2 linked regions of the Saccharomyces cerevisiae S288C genome follow. The protein of the gene in region 1 binds, or shares a complex with, the protein of each later gene. Each region holds a gene or a part of one and is shown on either strand. Other genes may lie near its edges. The genes, in order: RPT1 and HSM3. A codon is read from its position in the direction of its gene.

What was found.
Region 2: the proteins of RPT1 (region 1) and HSM3 are in contact, whole or in part, in a crystal structure (PDB 4A3V), measured with the Saccharomyces cerevisiae proteins. Residues at the interface, in NP_012777.1 of Saccharomyces cerevisiae: Asp381 (codon at 1,134), Leu382 (codon at 1,131), Glu383 (codon at 1,128), Ala386 (codon at 1,119), Arg390 (codon at 1,107), Arg403 (codon at 1,068), Glu405 (codon at 1,062), Leu406 (codon at 1,059), Ile407 (codon at 1,056), Arg409 (codon at 1,050), Leu410 (codon at 1,047), Glu440 (codon at 957), Lys441 (codon at 954), Leu444 (codon at 945), Lys445 (codon at 942), Asp448 (codon at 933), Lys449 (codon at 930), Ser452 (codon at 921), Gly453 (codon at 918), Tyr454 (codon at 915); in NP_009831.3 of Saccharomyces cerevisiae: Asp150 (codon at 4,798), Lys151 (codon at 4,795), Ile153 (codon at 4,789), Thr154 (codon at 4,786), Glu157 (codon at 4,777), Thr190 (codon at 4,678), Val191 (codon at 4,675), Val194 (codon at 4,666), Arg195 (codon at 4,663), Asp198 (codon at 4,654), Asp230 (codon at 4,558), Ile231 (codon at 4,555), Leu232 (codon at 4,552), Ile235 (codon at 4,543), Glu236 (codon at 4,540), Asn239 (codon at 4,531), Asp279 (codon at 4,411), Phe283 (codon at 4,399), Ser284 (codon at 4,396), Thr285 (codon at 4,393), Asn286 (codon at 4,390), Cys287 (codon at 4,387), Leu289 (codon at 4,381), Gln290 (codon at 4,378), Glu325 (codon at 4,273), Glu328 (codon at 4,264), Leu329 (codon at 4,261).

Annotation. Positions count from the first base shown.
Region 1 is NC_001143.9:165,780-176,486, reverse strand, and holds RPT1 (proteasome regulatory particle base subunit RPT1), read right to left. Parts: upstream 2,275-10,707; coding exon 871-2,274; downstream 1-870. Other genes in the region: DNA-directed RNA polymerase III subunit RPC25, read left to right, coding at 6-644; AVT3 (Avt3p), read right to left, coding at 2,626-4,704; succinate dehydrogenase flavoprotein subunit SDH1, read left to right, coding at 5,358-7,280; DBR1 (RNA lariat debranching enzyme), read left to right, coding at 7,658-8,875; MCR1 (cytochrome-b5 reductase), read right to left, coding at 9,035-9,943; NNR2 (NADHX dehydratase), read left to right, coding at 10,557-10,707. UniProt on the Saccharomyces cerevisiae protein: The 26S proteasome is involved in the ATP-dependent degradation of ubiquitinated proteins. The regulatory (or ATPase) complex confers ATP dependency and substrate specificity to the 26S complex.
Region 2 is NC_001134.8:742,559-752,997, forward strand, and holds HSM3 (Hsm3p), read right to left. Parts: upstream 5,246-10,439; coding exon 3,803-5,245; downstream 1-3,802. Other genes in the region: SDH8 (Sdh8p), read right to left, coding at 1-18; BIT2 (Bit2p), read right to left, coding at 203-1,840; EFM2 (S-adenosylmethionine-dependent methyltransferase), read left to right, coding at 2,294-3,553; UBX7 (Ubx7p), read right to left, coding at 5,503-6,813; serine/threonine protein kinase CHK1, read left to right, coding at 7,036-8,619; DNA-binding protein RIF1, read right to left, coding at 8,798-10,439. UniProt on the Saccharomyces cerevisiae protein: Involved in DNA mismatch repair in slow-growing cells. Acts as a chaperone during the assembly of the 26S proteasome, specifically of the base subcomplex of the 19S regulatory complex (RC).

The sequences.
Region 1 (10,707 bases):
GTAATATGTTTATCCTTTCAAAAATCGCTGACTTGGTACGAATCCCGCCCGATCAATTCCATCGCGATACAATATCGGCAATCACACATCAGTTAAATAATAAGTTCGCCAACAAGATTATTCCCAATGTCGGTCTATGTATTACGATTTACGACTTATTAACCGTCGAGGAAGGCCAATTGAAGCCAGGCGATGGATCATCCTATATTAACGTTACATTTCGAGCCGTTGTTTTCAAACCGTTTCTAGGTGAGATAGTAACTGGATGGATTTCTAAATGTACAGCAGAAGGCATAAAAGTTTCACTGTTAGGTATATTTGATGACATTTTTATCCCACAAAATATGTTATTCGAAGGGTGCTATTATACCCCTGAAGAAAGTGCATGGATTTGGCCCATGGATGAAGAGACGAAACTATATTTCGATGTAAATGAAAAAATTAGATTCAGAATCGAAAGAGAAGTTTTTGTTGATGTGAAGCCAAAATCACCCAAAGAACGAGAATTGGAGGAAAGAGCTCAATTAGAGAATGAGATTGAGGGTAAGAATGAAGAAACTCCTCAAAACGAAAAACCTCCAGCATATGCCCTATTAGGTAGTTGTCAAACTGATGGCATGGGACTCGTTAGTTGGTGGGAATGATAGATAAGGACGCCACTGACTTCAATAAAACATTTAATAATAATAGTAACAGTAATAATGAGGATAATAATATATAATAAACGTGAATTTTCTTTAGCATTATATACGCTAATTCTTTCTCTATTTGAGGGGATACTCTCGTATCCTTTTTATCTCGATAGTTGTAGTTGTACTTGTTGTTTTTATTAACCCTTCTCATAATATATAATAAAAAAGTACATTGACGTCAATTATATTGCATATAACGCGATGTGGAACTAAACTTCTTGTATCCGCTAATAACTTTATCAACAGCCTTCAGGAAATCCTTTTCAGTAGCCACCTTTCTTCTTGCTCTAATGGCAAACATACCGGCTTCTGTGCAAACAGATCTTAATTCTGCACCGGTAGAGTTTGGACACAGTCTGGAGATAAGTTCCCATCTGATGCCACGTTCCACACTCATTGATTTAGAGTGAATACGGAAGATATTTGCACGACCTTCCAAGTCAGGTAATGAAAACTCTACCTTACGATCAATTCTACCGGGTCTCAATAAAGCTGGATCTAAAGTGTTGGGCCTATTGGTGGCAAACATCACTTTAATGTTACCACGAGGGTCAAACCCGTCTAACTGTGTAATCAGTTCTAACATAGTTCTTTGAACTTCATTATCACCACCAGCACCATCATCAAAACGAGCACCACCAACAGCGTCGATTTCATCGAAGAATATAATGCAAGCCTTTTTGGTACGAGCCATTTCAAATAATTCTCTAACCATACGAGCACCTTCACCGACATATTTTTGCACTAGCTCAGACCCAATGACCCTAATAAAAGTTGCATCAGTTCTATTAGCAACAGCACGAGCACATAATGTCTTACCAGTACCAGGTGGCCCATATAATAAGATACCCTTTGGTGGATCAATACCAAGAGTAGCAAATCTTTCTGGAGATAATAAGGGCAGCTCGACAACTTCTCTCAGCTTTTCAATTTGGTCTTTACAGCCACCGACATCGCTATAAGTAACGTCAGGCTTTTCTTCAACGGTCATCATAGTAACTGATGGGTCAATCCTTGGAGGCAATGGAAGTTCAATATTATATTTCGACCTATCGACACCTACACGCATACCTTCTTCTATATCTGTTGGAGAAACACGTTCACCTAATCCGACGACAAATTTGGCAATTTGCTTAAGATTTATCACGTACTTGGCATCTTCATCGTCTTCGTCTGCATCAGTAGACTGTTGATTGCTATTACTATTGCTATTGCCGCTGTTATTATTATCTGTCGTAGTTTCGTCACTTTCACCATTCCCCTTAATGATCTTCGTGCAACGAGCGACTTGTAAGGGATGTTCTTCGCCCAGTCTCTGCCTATCACCCATAATATCCCATAGATGGGAGGGTGCTAACCCTGTATCGCTTTCTTTCACACCGGCCTTTTCTTTGATTCTCGCTTCAATGTCTTTTAAGTCATTCTCAGTTTGCTTTAATTTGGCTGCGTATGGAGCTGCACCGTATGATTTTAAGACTTGAATGTCACCTTCTGTTAAGGGTACGATCTTGTCATCATCAGGTTTTTTATCATCGTCTTCCAAAGGTGCCTTGTATTTTTCCCAGTCTTCTTTTGGTGGCATTCCGTATAGTTCCTAACTTCCTTGATTTATTACGATGGTTCAAAAAAATATCTCAATTGAATATTGCTTTGAATTCTCATCTCCTTGGAAAATACTGTATATACCCAGTTCTTTGTATAGTAAGCTGCATGCTAGTTTAGTTTTCGGGTGGCAAAATTCGGTAATCCTATTCACTATACCTTTTCCTCTCGTCCGGGTAAACTCAGCCATACCAAATTGACAAGGATAGTACATTTATGCTAATCATAATTAAAACAAGGTATGTGTGTTCCAGATGCATATAGATAACGAGTCATATATAAATATATATATATGTGTCTGTACATGATGTACTCGGTCAAAAATGGCGGATTACTGGCTCCACATTTTAATCGTCTGCCATGACGTGTAGGCCATGACAGCAACTCCAAATACTATGACGATTAAATCTAAAAGAAGCCTGGCTCTCGAGGTTCCAGATAAGATGGACGCCTTATAGTGCAACAATGGCGGGTATATGTAGATCAATGGGATACACGCGAAGGAGCCTACCAGTGATACAAATTTGTCCAAATCGTTGGCGCCTACCCAAGCGAGGATAGATGTCAGGACGACAATAGCGCAACGGAAATAGTTTTTCAACCATTTGACTTTCGGGTTGTATTTACCAGATGCATTTGAGGGAAAAGTCCAGTTTTCCAAAATACGTATCGCGGGAAATAGCTGCAACGGCGTGGATAACAAAATGGCTAATGCATACAGTAATTGAACAGTGAGAGTATAGGAAGTGTCCTGCGGAAAATTCAATAAAACAACAGTTTTCACGTCAGATCCAAAAGCGGCATAGCATAAGAGACCACATGATATGAAAATCACTGCCACGATACACATCACCGCGGACAACGATGGCCGGAAATGCTTCGGGTGTTTCATTGACTCCTGAATGGGGATAAGTAGGCCTATACCTTCAAAGGTGAATATGGCGGTACCGATGAACAACGACCAGTCCGCTTTATTGAACATAAGCATTGTATCGGATGCGACACCATTAACAGCAATATAATAAATGGAGTAAACGTAAACATAAACCAATCCCAGTAGAATAAATAGATCTGCTATTAACGCGGTCCCACTTAACTTGGCTATGTTTCTTGTCAAAGATAGTGGGACAAAGATGAGTACTTGTGCAAAGATATAGGTGGCTAGACTGATGCTGCCCGGTTTCAAATGGAAGAAATTTTCAGAAAAGACCTGCAAATTAGTTGCAGTGAAAACAGTGTATGCAGCAGAAAACCCGATTTGTGACAAGGCGATAGACGAAAGAATGGCAAATTTCATTTTGGGCCCATATAGTATACGACCCATGTCACCGTACCCATCTACGCCTACTTTGTCCTTGGTGGTAATCAATGATACGAAACATCCATAAGAAATGAGGGCACACGAGAGTAGACAAAGGGCGCTAAATCCCCAACCACCGTTATGGAAAGCCTTTGGTAGGAAAAGCACACCTGTCCCAACAAATGACTTTAACAAGAGCAGCACCGCCTTTACCGTAGATGATTTGTGAGGATGGCGCCCGTGTTCACGAGAAACTAGCTGGGTGCTTTCCGTTTCCAAAGCTTCCTCCTCTGGCTCCTCTTCAGTTTCTTCCTCCTCCTCCTCTTCTTCCGATAAATCTTCACCAGCGAAGTGGCCATACAAGGTCAAAAATTCAATAAAGTTCCTGGTGAAAAAATTCGGTATGGGCGCATCAACGTTATGTTTCCTGCGCTTCTGTATTATAAAAGATCTTCTGAATCCACCAGGAGCCCTGATTTCTTCGTGCGTCATCGGTGCGGGCGCCAGGCCTATTGCCGCTAGAGGATTCCCATTCGCCTCCGAGTTGTTGTTAAGGTGAGAGGAAGATGCTATAGAAGCGGCAGAAAAGCTCATAGACCTTTTACGATTCGAGAATGAGGGCGCTTGTGAAGGTATTGAGGTGGAAAGTGCAGGTTGACTTGGGTACTGATACTGCGATGGTGATGAAGGATGGTCGTTTGTCCACTTATACAGATCTCTTGTAATGTCTCCGCCTTGCAATTGTAGGCTGTTACTCGGGTTTCTTATCAAGTGGCGTGCCACGGCATCTACCACATGTGGCTCAGGGTTATTTATGCTCACTTCAAGCGTGCCATTGTTACAGGAAGTGTGCGACGCGTCGGGTACGCTAGCATGCACCGCTTCATTGTTCACAAGCAGCGGCGGCTTTTTTAGCAAACCACCTGTAGTTCCACTAGATTTTCTACTTCTGCTTCTACTTCTACTATTACCGTTGCTATTGCCACCGTTGCCGTCCGTTAAAGGTGAGCCAGACGCATGCGAGATTCCTGTACTGCCTCCGTTGTTATTTTTTTTGTTGTTGTTGCTCTGCGTTCTTCCAGAGCCACTTGAAACCTCTTTTCCATTCATATCCGCGATGCAATCCCTTATACGCTTCTTAATAAACTTTGCTTCCCACTCTTTCACTACTGACCATCGATCCTTCTTATTTCATAGCCTCACGAGCACAAATGATAATACGAGAAAAAGGCCCGACCGGGTAACCAACCCTTTTACTATCTCTCGCTCTACCTTTAGTAATAATGTCGTCTATATAAGGATTTACTCATACAGTAGTCCAAAATATACCTTTCCGTGCTAAAAGTAGCTCCCAAAAGTAGCGGAGGTGAGGATCATCCTCTATTGCCAGGTACCAAGCTCGCTGGAAAGTCGTTATGGAGTCACGGCTTTGAGGGCGGGGGTGGACCAATCACAGCGCAGAACGCGGCGCCGAGCAAGCGCTGGACCAAGGGATCCGGGCCTCTTCTATTGGTTGTTTGTTTGCTCAAACCCGTTATATATTCAGGCATCCTCGACTCTAACCTTTTGCCACGTCGAGGCGGCTTGAAGCTTAAATAGCACTAATAAACTAGTAGACACATTATAACTAACCAGTAGTATACTTTGCACTTTCGATATTCTTTTCACTAATCTCCTCCCCAACCCCTTATTGAAGATAAAAAGAAAGAAAGAAAGAAAGAAAAAAATCCAATTTCATAGTACGAAGAAGAACGAGAATAAAGATGCTATCGCTAAAAAAATCAGCGCTCTCCAAGTTGACTTTGCTCAGAAACACAAGAACATTTACATCGTCAGCTTTGGTGCGCCAAACGCAGGGCTCTGTAAACGGTTCCGCGTCCAGATCTGCAGACGGGAAGTACCACATAATAGATCACGAGTATGACTGTGTGGTAATCGGTGCCGGTGGTGCCGGCCTTAGAGCGGCCTTTGGTCTTGCCGAGGCGGGCTACAAGACTGCTTGTATATCCAAGCTTTTCCCCACCAGATCCCACACTGTTGCTGCTCAGGGTGGTATCAATGCCGCTCTGGGAAATATGCACAAGGATAACTGGAAATGGCATATGTACGATACTGTGAAAGGATCTGATTGGCTAGGTGACCAGGACTCCATCCATTACATGACCAGGGAAGCGCCCAAATCGATCATTGAACTGGAACACTATGGTGTTCCTTTTTCAAGAACTGAAAACGGTAAGATCTACCAAAGAGCCTTTGGTGGTCAGACCAAGGAGTACGGTAAGGGTGCTCAGGCCTATAGAACATGCGCTGTCGCAGACAGGACAGGACATGCTCTTTTACACACGCTTTATGGCCAAGCTTTAAGACATGACACACATTTCTTTATTGAGTACTTTGCCCTCGATCTGTTGACCCATAATGGCGAGGTCGTTGGTGTCATCGCTTATAATCAGGAAGACGGTACCATCCACAGATTCAGAGCACACAAGACCATTATTGCCACTGGTGGCTATGGTAGAGCATACTTCTCTTGTACCTCTGCTCACACATGTACGGGTGACGGTAATGCCATGGTTTCGCGTGCTGGTTTCCCCTTGCAAGATTTAGAGTTTGTTCAATTCCATCCTTCAGGTATATATGGGTCTGGTTGCTTAATCACTGAAGGTGCTCGTGGTGAAGGTGGTTTTTTGGTTAATTCTGAAGGTGAAAGATTCATGGAACGTTACGCTCCTACGGCCAAGGATCTAGCTTGTAGAGATGTCGTTTCCAGAGCAATCACCATGGAGATCAGAGAAGGCAGAGGTGTTGGTAAGAAAAAGGACCACATGTACTTACAATTGAGCCATCTACCTCCGGAAGTTCTAAAGGAAAGATTGCCAGGTATCTCTGAAACAGCAGCCATTTTTGCTGGTGTAGACGTCACCAAGGAACCTATTCCCATTATTCCTACCGTCCACTATAACATGGGTGGTATTCCCACGAAGTGGAATGGTGAGGCATTAACCATTGATGAAGAAACTGGCGAAGACAAGGTTATTCCCGGTTTAATGGCTTGTGGTGAAGCCGCTTGTGTTTCTGTCCATGGTGCCAATAGATTAGGTGCCAATTCCTTGTTGGATCTTGTTGTCTTTGGTCGTGCTGTTGCCCATACGGTTGCTGACACTTTACAGCCTGGGTTGCCACACAAACCACTACCTTCTGATTTGGGTAAAGAATCCATCGCAAACTTGGATAAACTAAGAAATGCTAATGGTTCAAGATCTACGGCAGAAATTAGAATGAATATGAAACAAACTATGCAAAAGGATGTTTCCGTCTTTAGAACACAATCATCTTTAGATGAAGGTGTTCGGAACATTACTGCAGTAGAGAAGACCTTTGATGATGTGAAGACGACCGATAGATCAATGATCTGGAATTCTGACTTGGTTGAAACTCTGGAGCTACAGAACTTATTAACCTGTGCCTCCCAAACAGCTGTTTCCGCTGCTAATAGAAAGGAATCCCGTGGTGCTCATGCAAGAGAGGATTATCCAAATAGAGATGACGAACATTGGATGAAGCATACATTATCCTGGCAAAAGGACGTCGCTGCCCCAGTGACTTTGAAATACAGAAGGGTTATCGATCACACTTTGGACGAAAAGGAATGTCCTTCCGTACCTCCAACTGTAAGAGCCTACTAATTTGAACCTCATTGTATTTTACGGAAAAGAATATCATACTCTTCTTTAATTGCACTTTTTTTGTGCGTTTGCACTTTTTTACCACTGACTCACTAATTTGTATATATACCTATTAATATACATTTACATAAAGTTTCTTCTTATACATACTCTATTTATTTAGTTATTTATTAACTTACTATTTATTTATTTATTTATTTATTTATTTATTACTTTCAATTTTTTATCGAGGCATTTCCTTAGTTCTCCAATTTTTTTTCTCATTAGCCAGATGTGTGTTTTTCTGGCCCTCACAAAAAATGAGCAGGAGAAAGTCATATGGCGAACGTAAATATGTAACTAAAAATTAAGATGGGCAGACATTTATCATTTTGCTTATGACTAAATTGCGAATTGCTGTACAAGGGTGCTGTCATGGTCAGCTAAACCAAATTTATAAAGAAGTGTCACGAATCCATGCGAAGACTCCCATCGATCTATTAATTATTCTTGGAGATTTTCAAAGTATTCGTGATGGTCAGGATTTTAAGTCAATAGCCATACCACCAAAATATCAAAGACTCGGTGATTTCATATCATACTACAATAATGAGATTGAAGCCCCAGTCCCTACTATTTTTATTGGCGGTAATCATGAATCGATGAGACATTTAATGCTTCTGCCACATGGTGGTTATGTAGCAAAGAACATTTTTTATATGGGATACTCTAACGTTATATGGTTTAAAGGCATAAGGATAGGTTCATTGAGCGGGATATGGAAAGAGTGGGATTTCAATAAGCAACGACCAGATTGGAATGACCTAGAAAATAACAATTGGAAAGCTAACATAAGAAATCTGTATCATGTAAGAATTTCTGATATTGCTCCTCTTTTTATGATCAAGCATCGTATTGATATTATGCTGAGCCACGATTGGCCCAATGGAGTCGTTTATCATGGCGATACTAAGCACTTGTTGAAGCTTAAGCCTTTTTTTGAGCAAGATATTAAAGAGGGAAAACTAGGCAGCCCAGTGACCTGGCAACTACTAAGAGATTTGCGGCCTCAATGGTGGTTGAGCGCCCATTTGCATGTCAGGTTCATGGCCTCCATTAAGCATAATAAAAGAAGCCACGAACCGCCTAATAAGTCAACTTCAAAGACAAAAAAAAACAATAATGAAATAGATTTGGATTTATCCAGTGACGAGGACGAAAGGTCTGGTATTATGAATTGCCAAGAAGAGAATGAGTATGATTCCAAATACGGCGAGACACGGTTCTTGGCGTTGGACAAGTGCCTGCCAAGAAGACGTTGGTTAGAAATTCTGGAAATAGAACCGGATACATCGCATGCTTCGTGGAAGGACGAGAATCACCGTATGTTCTGGGATCCTGAATTTATCAATAATTTGGTAATTTGTCAAAAAAATAAGAATCTCCTAAGCAATAAACCGTTTAATAGCGTCAATTGGATAGAACTGTCTCAATCTAATAGAGAGGAAGGAAGGGATATTGATTGGGAAAATTATGCCATTCCTGCATACACCTTAGATATTCAGAAAGATGAAGTACGACAAACTAAAGCATTTATCTCTAAATTCATGACTTGAGAGATATTTCTATTACGAATGCAGACGGAATTAGAGCTTAAAGCCAAGCCTTCTTGAGAGAATTTTTAGTCATACACATGAATATATATATATTTTTTATATATTTACTAATTTGAACGATCCGAAATTAAAAAAAATATCAATTACTTTCCTCCATGCTTAAAATTTGAAAACTTGGTCCTTGGAGTAGCCCAAATTGTTCAAGATACCGATCAATTCACCTTGGTCCTTAGGTGACTTCTTCTCACCTGAGTAAGCGTTCATAAATGGTGGGGGACCGCAGACAAACAAATGTGTGCTTTCCTTTGGACCTGGAACATGCTCCTGAATAAAATCTTTGGAGATGAAACTAATTTCACCATCAAAGTCTTGGTCATCTTGCTTGTCGTCAACAAAGTAAGTAACATTGAACTTGTCAGGATACTTTTCCTTCAACGCATCCAGTTCCTTCCTTAGTAAAATGTCCTGAGGAGTCTTGTTCCCATATAGCAAGTTAACTTTGGTCTTGTCGTTTGGGTTTTCAACTATATGATGAGCTAATTGGTACAGAGGGTTGATACCGGTACCGGCACCTAACAAGGTGATTGACTTGAACTGATTAGGTTGCCACTTCCATTTCATAATAGGACCCTTGAAAGAAACGGTGTCATTTGGTTTAAGACCAAATAAATGTGAGGTCATTTTACCACCTTCATAATGCTTGACGACCAGCTGGAAGTGACCCTTCTGGGAAAGATCACTCACAGGAGTGTATGGTCTCACCACATTGGATCCCTTTGGTGTGACAAATTTAGCAAACAGAGCAGATGCTAGGACCAACCCCATTTCTGAGTCTTCGGTAGGCAGCTTAAAAGTAAACCTTCTGGTGTCGTGGGATTCCTCCTCTATTTTAGATATTGGCAAGTCGATCCATTTGTCATCACCTTTGAACACTTTATTAGATTCATTGAAGACAAAGGAATGTTGGTTACGGTTTGCAAAATAGAATGCGGTAGCAGCTGCTATAGCAACTGTACCTAGAGCAATCGGTAATGCTTTTGAGTGAGATCTGGATAATCTGGAAAACATGTTTTTGACTTGGAATATTATTTTAACCTATATACGTTATACTATTGTTAGTTTGGCTGCTTCAAAACGTTAGTATTGAGGGAAAAGGTAAGAGTACTTAACACAAGCGGGCATTGCGAGCAAACTGCATTCTTATATACGTACCTCTCTCGACAAGACACCAATCAAGGGCCCTTATTTCTCTTCTTTTTTCAAACGGAGAAACACTCCGAGCGATAGTTCCTACGCTTGTTTGGTCTTAGACCTTTGAAGTTTGAATTGTCAGGGGTAACAAGTTCCTTATACGATATAGGCGTCATAATGAGGGGGATAGTTTAGCATTGCGTGGAGGGATACTGAAGGTCATCGCAAATGAACCTAATTCATTCACCTATTGTTACCAGCTTGCATACTAGAAATGGACTCTTATGATCGTCAAAAGGAGCACACACCCACACACGACTCCTTTGCGCTGTAAAGGGCAGAATAGGGAGTGATGTGATGTGATGCGATGTGATGGGTCTTGCAACGTGATCTAGTAGATATATATGTAAAGGTGTAAATAGGTATATAGGCGTCGGTGAAATTTTATTAGCAACACCAGTTCAATACGATCACTACCGTATCACTGGAAATGTTAGCAGAATTGTCTCATAGAGAATTGATAAAGTTGGCGCAGAAAAGATGTATACCACCTTTATTGCCAAAGTTTCATAAGGGACAGTCTGGTGGGAGAGTTTGCATTATTGGAGGATGCGAAGATTATACAGGGGCACCGTATTTCA
Region 2 (10,439 bases), on another chromosome or scaffold:
TTTGATGGCGCACAACATTAGTTCTTCTTTTTATTATTTGGTTCTTTCTGACTCTTTAGCAAGTTAATATGATCTGCACTTTCCCCATTGGCCCCTTTATAGGGCGGAAAAGAGCATCTGTTTTTCCGGATTCTTGGAACAAGAAAAAGGAAATACACCTATCTATATGCCACTATTGTATATTACTAAATAAAATATTTAATTATATACTCATGCGTATGCCCTCAAGAAGTTCACCAATAATTCTTTGGTTTCTGCTGTTACCTTTTATGGTATTCAGGATCCCAAAACACTGCAGCAGCGTCAGTTTATCTTCCTCTGTGACGCCGTTCTGTTCTTCCTCGCTGAAAATATATCTTTGAAAACTCTTACTGGCACCGTCATTTGTATGTAGGAAGCTTTCGTAATACGGAAGAATGATGGAGTCTCTAAAACACTTTAATAAAAGGACATCAATTGACGGTGCGTACCTTGAAGGTTCAGATAGATATCCGTCAAGCCAGTAGTTACTATTTTTTTGGAAGCTTTTCTCGAAGGGCAGTAACACTGCCATCATGTCGTAGTAAACCTGTTGGTAAAACACCTTCCAGATTATGCCGACTCTTTTCAAAGCCGTATTTACGGTATCCTCATTGGCATAATTGAACACAATCTGGTTCTCTAAAATGTAAAGTGAAGTGGTAATGAATTCCTCGATTTCGGCCAAAAACCTTGAGTGCGTTACGGCAGCCTTGGTTTGTGTTTTCAAAGTGATATAAAATTCCAGCAGCCGGTCAATATCTTCTATTTTTGCTGGCAATTGCCATACCCTCTTGTTTTTAAATAGCTCCACAACTATGCTGCAGTATATACCCCAGATATTCCCCTCCAGAACAAATAACTCCTGTACGGTGAAGCTTTTATAGTTTGCTATCAAGGATGGCAAGTTTTTCAGTAAATCATGTAGTAAAGAAACATTAGTCGCGTCGAAAGCATCATCTTGGATCAGCGATAGAGCTGTATCATTAGGGTTGTTGTTAATGCTAGGGTTAAAGGAATATACAGATTTTCCAGAGTCAATAAGGCCTCCAGTAGAAGTATGGATAAACTGTACGGGTGACCTATGTTTACCATATGAAGAATGCAGAAATTTACTGAATGGGCTGGGAACTACGGGTTCAACGTCGTCTTTACCAATGGAATTATGCGGCTTGTAGGGTAAAAGCTTTTTTGCCATTTTGCTAAAGACATTACTGCCTTTGTTTGAATGAGAATGTCCTGTAGACAGTGAAGATTGTAAACTGTTCACACTCATATTAGATTTCGTATGAAACAATTTAGAGCCACTCCTACTTATGTTGTTACTACTTGTGCCGGTAATAACAGTGCCGTAGTTTTTTGACCCGCTCCTGCTTCGATTTCTCATATTATCTTTTGAATTGGTGAAGATGGACAGTCGCCTTTTATTGCCCCTTGAGTTGGAAGAAAATAAACTATCATTAGACGTGGTGTTCCCCTCCATTCGGTTACTACTTGATGAACCTATTTCGGAGTGACCATCGTTATTCTCCGTGCCTTGGCTGTACTCCTCTTCAATCGAATCCGTCGAGCGCCTTGCATTGGAACCATCATGGAATATAGATTGAAACCCCACCTGTGACCATCTAGGAGCGGCATCATGAGGAGATTTGGATGTTTTTAGATGCACATCTTCGTCGGGATGTGTCAGCGCTTGCGGTACTATATCAGAAGAAACACTATAAACTCTAGCTGGTTTGCGATTAGTTGCTTTTATGTTCGGGTTCGTGACGCTCAGTGAGCCTGAGGTAGCACTTCTTTTACGATTTAGGTCTGTTGCCATTGCTTGACTCTGTAGTTTAAGACTCGCCTAGCCACTTATGCTTATTGTGGTTTGTATTTTTTATTTACTGTCTTCTATCTTTCTCCCTTTAATTTTGACCTTATTTTAAAGCCCGCAAAGATCGCTGAAAAATTGCTAGTAAAGGTCGCATGCAAAATGGATAAAGTGCTCTTGTCAAATTATTTCAACACCTTCATTCGCAGTATAGTGGTATATTGGATTGGGTAAAGGAAAACAGGCGACACCAATATTGGTTTAAGCTAGTAGCGTATGCAGCTCTATCCAGGCATTAAAATTGGTTCACCTATTTCTGATAGTAGTTTTTTTTTTTCCAATCGTAAATTTTTTCTTCAATTTCGCGATGAGCTACAAAATAATAGTAGTGCAATCTGTATATTACTTTTCAAGTATCTAACTCATGCAAGTTAGGAGTTCCATAGCGGATATTTCACTATGTTTGATCCTCTCGATTTGTACACCCCTGATGACATCCAGGTTGAGGCTTTACAGTTCAATCTAGCAGAGAGAGAGCCAAAAGATCCTTGCTCACCGCAACGTGACGAAATATTAACGGCTGTAGATGAAGAAGAGAGTGACGACGATGACACCATTATCGATAATCTGGATCTGCCCTCCGTGAAGTATGCTCCGCCAGAAGTTATCCTTTGTATACTAATACTTCTGAAGCCCGATAGACAAGTAAACTTCAATCAGGAGACAGGGAAGAACAAATCTGTACTGGAGGTTTGCAAGAGTCATGGGCTGGAACCCGATCTGCTGAAAAGACTTTTGACTTGGTATACAGAAGAATGGCCTAACAAGAGGTTAAACTCGTTGGAAAAGATATGCAATAAAATCCCAATGCTGAGATTTACAGTATCCAAAGAACTACTGTTGGGCTACTATACTAGTGTATTGAAAAAATACAATAATAGTTGCGGATTGAATGAGGAAATCATACAAGAACTTCTTAAGGAATTGAGCTCAAGGATATCCGAAAACTGTGGGAGAACGGCCCAACCATCCATAGTAAGATATTTTGAATTAAGAAATCTAAGCACTTCCATACCGCTTCATGAACCCTCTTTAACGGCCGATAATCTTGGTTGGAAAACATGGGGATCATCTTTAATACTTTCACAATTAGTCGTAGATCACCTGGATTACCTACATACCACTAATGTGAACATGTTAGCGAACAGCGACATCAAACAGATTAAAGTATTAGAATTAGGAGCGGGCACTGGTTTAGTAGGACTTTCATGGGCCTTAAAATGGAAAGAACTTTATGGAACTGAAAATATAGAAATCTTCGTGACGGATTTACCCGAGATTGTGACGAATTTGAAGAAAAATGTGTCATTAAATAATTTAGGAGATTTCGTTCAAGCAGAGATATTAGATTGGACTAATCCTCACGATTTTATAGATAAATTTGGACATGAAAATGAATTTGACGTCATATTGATCGCCGACCCGATATATTCGCCTCAGCATCCGGAATGGGTAGTTAACATGATATCGAAGTTTTTGGCGGCATCAGGGACCTGTCACCTAGAAATACCTTTAAGGGCAAAATACGCCAAAGAACGAGAGGTTTTGAAATTATTACTAAAAGAGAGTGATTTAAAAGTAGTTGAAGAACGGCATTCAGAGGGTGTGGATGATTGGGGTGCCGTTAAGTATTTATATAGGCAAATCGTTCGCAATTAGTGGGAAAGAAACGAACGCGCTTAGGCGAATAGTTTTTCTTTATAATAAAAATCATGCATGCTACATAGACATTGAAATGTGAATTATAAGTACTTGCCAGACCTTACATACTGATTTATACAATTTATGGAGAAGAAAACTGAATGGGCCACCTCGCCAAAAGGTTAGTTTTTGATTCAGACAGGAATCAATACTGGTAGTACATTAAACAATCAAGGCCGCCTTTATAGTTGCGCTTATGCAACATAATCATCTGCAATCTGCAATCTTAGTTTCACTGCCTGTGGAATAATTTTTTCCGTTAACTGCTTTGGAGTATTCTCGCAATAAAGGTTCATACCATACACTTAACTTTTCTTCACCTTTGTCCAGTAAATTTCTCAAGGCAGAATTCCTATAATGCACAGTCTCAAGATCTATAATAGCACCTGCGCTCCCATCACCTATCAAGCTGCCCATCACCTTTGGCATCTCATTGAGCAGAAATTTTGAAGTGTATTCGTATCTCGTCAAGGTTTCTACTACTTGCATTTGTTCTAAGTACGGTAGTCTTAAGACAATCTCAGCACTAAACTTGTTTCTTATAGCATTGAAACATTCTTCATCTGCTGAAAGATTTCTCAACATTCCAATGCTGTAGCCACTGACGTGAAAATAGTTTTCGACCACATCTTTATGATATTTTACCAAGTACTGCGGATTAATTAATTCCAACCACTCGGTTATTAATTTTGCTTCGGACCCAATTTTTAAAGAATCTTTGTCCATAGTCTTGAATAAAGAATATTCATCTTCCTCAATTCGTGACACCTCTGCGAATAACTGTAAAAGACAATTTGTAGAAAAGGCCCTGACATCAGGATAGTTCTCCGTGTCTTCAAAAAGTTGAGCAAATACTGGCAGTATTTTTTTTACATGTCTTAAAGCCCAGTATTTATCTTGATTTCGTATTTCCAGCAAAAACTTAGTATAATAATTAACCAATTCGATGAAAACGAGGATATCTTCAACGGATTTCAGTATCTCTTCTTTAGTAAAGCAAAATATGATATCCTTGAACTCAGGACCGCTGATGAATTGAAACTCAATAGTCAAGAAGTCAATTAATCTGACAAAAGAAACCGTTTCCATTCTACCCTTTACGCTCACCAGGTATGGCAAATTATTATCAAATAATCGACGCCTAATCAATTCATCTGTACTCAACCTTTCCAACGCTTTTTCGATTGCTGTAATGAGCTTATCATTCTCCACTTTCTCATCAAATAGAATATCCAATAGAATATCGATGATATTACTGGTCGCGAATAAACCCTTTGGCTGCGAATTCTCAATGACTCTACATGCTGCTACTTTTAATGGATCTATTTCTGACCTAAGGGCCTTCACTAAGTCCTCCGCGCTATAAACTTCTAGAACATCGTCAAAATCAGCCATGGGAACAAGCTTGTCCACAACGTCCAAAAGGTAATCGTAATTCAATGAATCATAGGATACGTTAGACGTCAGAAAACGCTTGATCGTAGCCAGTAGTGGTTTAACATCCATATCTGGAAGGGAGACAACAGTCACAAGATTCAAAGAACATTTCCTTAATAGTGTGTTGATATCTTCAGGCAAGTTATCTTCATTAAGTTCATTTTCTAATTGCGTAAGGAGATTTTCCACGTAATTTGTTTCTTTCTCACTCATTGCTCCTGTTTCGCTGAGTTCTTTTGCGGTGATTATAGTTGTAAACTTGTTTTATTTTTAATCCCGTAATTAAGGTGTTTATATAAACTTACTCTTCAATTTTTCTATATGCATTTGAAACAGAAAAAAAGATATAAAAATACCAGCTATAACAAAAATCCATGTAAATAAAATTACTGTATATTTTTTTATGTAATCTAATCAAAAAAAATTCACGTCTAATACTAGTCATAAATGGAGTTGAAGCCATTAACTACTTATTTTTTATCTTCGTCCTTTTTCTTTTCTAAATGGACATTATTACCATTAAAGGTTGTTGGGTCTTCAGGATCTTCTTGATGATCGTTGTTAACAAATTGGAAAACATTTGGCGAGACAGAACGTGACGTAGTAAGGTTGGTTTCCGATGGGTACCTGGTTCCGCTAGGTGTCAGCATTGGTGATGCATGAGCAGATGATTGAACTGGTTCCCGAACATTGTTGTATTGGAAACAGCTTGACGAAGCAGCTCCAGATAAAGGTGTTGAAGACCTCACTTCGTGACGATTCGGCTTCGATGTTTCCTCACGTTGTGATGTTACTTCAGGATCTTTATCGTTGTGCCACCACGTAGAGAATCCCTTATAAAGACGGCCCAAAAGGCTTGGTCCCTCCATCCCAGTCACAGATAGCCCCGAGTTTTGAGTTTCTAGTGGTTTAAGTAATAATGCAGACCTTGGAGTTAGTTCTAGTGTCTCTAGCGTCTTCAATTCATCAGAATCCTTAAATGTCACTCTGGGAATGCCCCTGTGGAATGAGTACGGGCAGTCTCCATCTGTCCTGTTGACGTCCACCCATTTTCTAACGTCATTTAATGTTTCAGACGAGTTGAACTCATGTTTTAGAGTCTTGCCATCAGTCATCCTGATTTGCAAGACGCATTTGCTGCTGTGCAGTTTTTGTGCGTCTTTTATGTAATCATGAACATCCAATGGCTTATCATCATCAAGGGTTCTGTGATGAGTTTCATCAAGAGCTTTTCTTTCTGCACGGTCTGCCCTAACAAGTCTTATAATTCTTTCTCTTTCCTCCTCAGCCAGCTTTCTTTGTTTCAGTTGTTCACGACGTTGGATCTCTAAGGTAGTCTCAGCAATCCGTTCTCTTGCATTTTTCCTATGGACGTCTCTGGATGACTTTTCTTCTCTAGCCAAACCTGGATTGGTTTCCCTGGACGAACTCTCACCAGCCTTTTTGTCTTTGATGCCTATGCACGCCAGCAACTTCTCCCAATGTCGGTCATCCTCGCCTTGAATAATCAATTCTATCTTTCCAGCACGTATCAAGTATATACTGGGTACAACTACATTAGGAAATACTTGCTCAAATAACTGGAACTGCTCAGTGTCTTTGACCAACCTCAACCAAATACTATGTTCCGCTAAAGTATCTAATGAGACATCATCTCCTTTAAACCAACTTTTCAGCCACTGGTCATCCCGTGCAGTGTTGTAAACGGCCAGCACAACGCCTTCCTTGATGGAATCGTTTATTGCTTCTTCCACAGAATCTCTAAACAGTGCTTCTAACATTTGGTTACGGCTGTTTGGTTTAGCTATCCTTGCTTCTTTGTAAGTGCTTTCAACCTCAACCCAGCTCCCTTTTAAATTTTCAACATTACTACGAGGCCTGCCGAAGTTAATAAAGAGCGGCTTTAAATGTCATTTTAATAATTGAATGGCAAATAAAAACAACTACAGCTTCAAACATAAGAGTATATCATAAGTTGCTGTATATGGGCAGCACGTATTACTATGAGTCTCTCGCAGGTGTCACCTTTACCCCATATCAAGGATGTTGTTTTAGGAGATACAGTAGGCCAAGGCGCATTCGCCTGCGTTAAAAATGCTCATCTTCAAATGGATCCCTCCATTATTCTAGCTGTTAAATTCATTCATGTTCCCACTTGCAAAAAAATGGGACTCAGTGACAAGGATATCACAAAAGAGGTTGTTTTGCAATCGAAGTGTTCTAAGCATCCTAATGTTTTGAGACTTATCGATTGTAATGTCTCTAAAGAATATATGTGGATAATTCTGGAGATGGCAGATGGTGGTGATCTATTTGATAAGATTGAGCCTGACGTTGGAGTTGATTCCGACGTGGCCCAATTTTACTTTCAACAGCTCGTTAGTGCTATTAATTATCTGCATGTAGAATGTGGAGTTGCTCACAGAGACATCAAGCCTGAAAACATCTTACTCGATAAGAACGGAAATCTGAAGCTAGCTGATTTTGGGCTCGCCTCTCAATTTAGGAGGAAAGATGGTACATTACGTGTATCCATGGATCAAAGGGGTTCTCCACCCTACATGGCTCCTGAAGTATTATATTCTGAAGAGGGTTATTACGCAGATCGAACAGATATATGGTCTATTGGCATCCTCTTGTTCGTATTGTTGACTGGTCAAACGCCTTGGGAATTACCTTCATTAGAGAACGAAGATTTCGTCTTTTTTATTGAAAATGATGGAAATTTAAACTGGGGACCCTGGTCAAAGATAGAATTTACTCACTTGAACCTACTCCGAAAAATTTTACAACCTGACCCAAATAAGAGGGTGACATTGAAGGCTTTAAAGTTACATCCTTGGGTATTACGTCGAGCTTCATTTTCTGGGGATGATGGTCTCTGTAATGACCCTGAACTCTTGGCTAAGAAACTGTTTTCTCACTTAAAAGTCTCACTGAGTAACGAAAATTATTTGAAATTCACTCAAGATACAAACTCTAATAATAGGTACATTTCTACTCAGCCAATTGGTAACGAATTGGCTGAGCTTGAACACGACTCAATGCATTTCCAGACAGTTTCGAATACACAACGTGCATTTACCTCGTATGATTCAAATACGAACTATAATAGCGGAACAGGTATGACACAAGAGGCTAAGTGGACGCAATTCATAAGCTATGATATCGCTGCCTTACAGTTTCATTCTGATGAAAATGATTGTAATGAATTAGTAAAACGACATTTACAATTTAATCCGAATAAACTTACCAAGTTCTACACGTTGCAACCTATGGATGTTTTGTTACCGATTTTGGAGAAAGCCTTGAATTTATCACAAATTAGAGTAAAACCCGACCTTTTTGCGAATTTTGAAAGATTGTGCGAATTATTGGGTTATGATAACGTTTTCCCACTTATTATAAATATTAAAACCAAAAGTAATGGGGGTTATCAATTATGCGGTAGCATTTCCATCATAAAGATTGAAGAAGAGTTGAAAAGTGTCGGATTTGAAAGAAAAACTGGTGATCCTTTAGAATGGAGAAGATTGTTCAAGAAAATTTCAACTATCTGTAGGGATATTATCCTAATTCCCAACTGAAAAAAATGGAGACAAAAGAAGGGTTAAGATGCACTGATCAAAAAAAAAAAAAAATTCTTTCTACTTATTATATATCTCTCTCGATTTCTAGTGTGTCATCGTAACTATATATTGTTTCGAGAGATTTTATTATTGTAATTAATTTATTGCCATTTTGATCTATTCTACATACTAACAATCAATTCATATCATTATCCCTGTTTGAGTAATATTCGAGCCTCATCATAAAATCTAATAATTCAATTCTCAAGTTTCTTCTTTCTTCCACAGATATTCCGTTCAAGTCGCCCGGTGTGAACCCTCTCAATCTGGCCACTAACCTTCTCGACTTTTTTGAAAAAAAGTGCACTTTTAATGAAGGTGTGGCTTCCCTAGATGTAGCATCTTCGTTACCATCTCCCCCCAACAAAGGTTCGCCATCTGCTTCTGTGTGGGCTTGGCCTAATTGAATTTCATGGTGTTTTTCTTTTCCACCAATTGTTTTTGGTACGGTGTCTAAGCCATTCTGCGCGTTGATATTTGTATTTTCTGTCATTCGAGGAGGTGAATCTGGTGGCATTAACTCATTCCTTTGCAATCTCTTTTTCAATTTCTCTTTTATTTGGCTCTTTGACCCTTGCATTTTCAAAGAATTGAAAATGGGTATACGAATTTCTGGTAACACTGAAATATCAGCAACTTCGGGTTGTTCTTCTAGACCTGTCTCTTTAGATACCGCATGTTCCATTGATTTTAAAAAGCCCTCATCTCTGACATTTTCTTCAACAGGTACAAAATCGTCATTAATATTGGCATCCTTATCTCCTTTAAGCGGTCCCTTCAAATTTTTATTAAGTTCGCATGTTCCACTATCTTCTAAGCGTACATTGATACCTTCTTCGGTCATAACAACTTCCCTAGATTCTTCTTCAGTGCCTTGAATGGGTGTGCTGTCCATCCTGTCATTATTTTTGTTTCTACTGTTTATTGCACCCACTTGATGTTTCTCTTGCGCAACCGTTCCATGTTCATCTTCATCACTACGCAAGTCATCAACTTTTGATTTTTCTGTCTGCTTTGAACTATTGAGAAGTATAGTCCCACTCGGGATCTGAATGCCGTCTCCTGGCACCTCATTCCTTACTGGAGAGGCTTGTTCAACATTACAAGCATAATCGTTGTTTTCACCCTCATTATTAGGACGGGCTTTCTTCACGCTCTTGTACTGTGCAATATTGTCTTGCGTAAAACTTTTACTGTTGATTTTATTCATACTTTCCTGGTTCTCCTGTCTTTGAACATGTTCAACTTGCCCTTTTCCATCTTCCTTTGTTATGGTTTGCTGGTCAAGATCTAAAGTGACATTCAAGGAATTTTCATTACAGTTTGTTTCCACTTTTATGCTATTCCTTAAAGCTAACGAAGATTCTTCGTTGGCTATACTCTTGATGTTAGTACATATAACGTCACTGCTAGGCGACACCGCTTGTTCCTCAGAAACTAAAACGTCCACCATCGTTTCATGACCTTTCGATCTTTTATTTTCAGAGGTAGGCGTCTCTTTGGAAGGTCGTTTTAGAGGATTATCACTGTTAACAACGTTATGATCAGGATTCGTTTTGATAGATCTATTTGTTACCGCCTTCAGTTCGCTAGTGAGAACTTCTATCGGTTGGTATGCGTTCACTTCCGAGGATTGTGTATCAATACTTTCATGCAGCTCAGTAACATCCACCTCATCGCTTTTAGTAGAACAAATGTTGCTATGATTGGCCACGTTTTTATCTAACTGCGTACTCTTCATCTGCTGATCTATTTCTCTAATGCTTTCATTATCCACT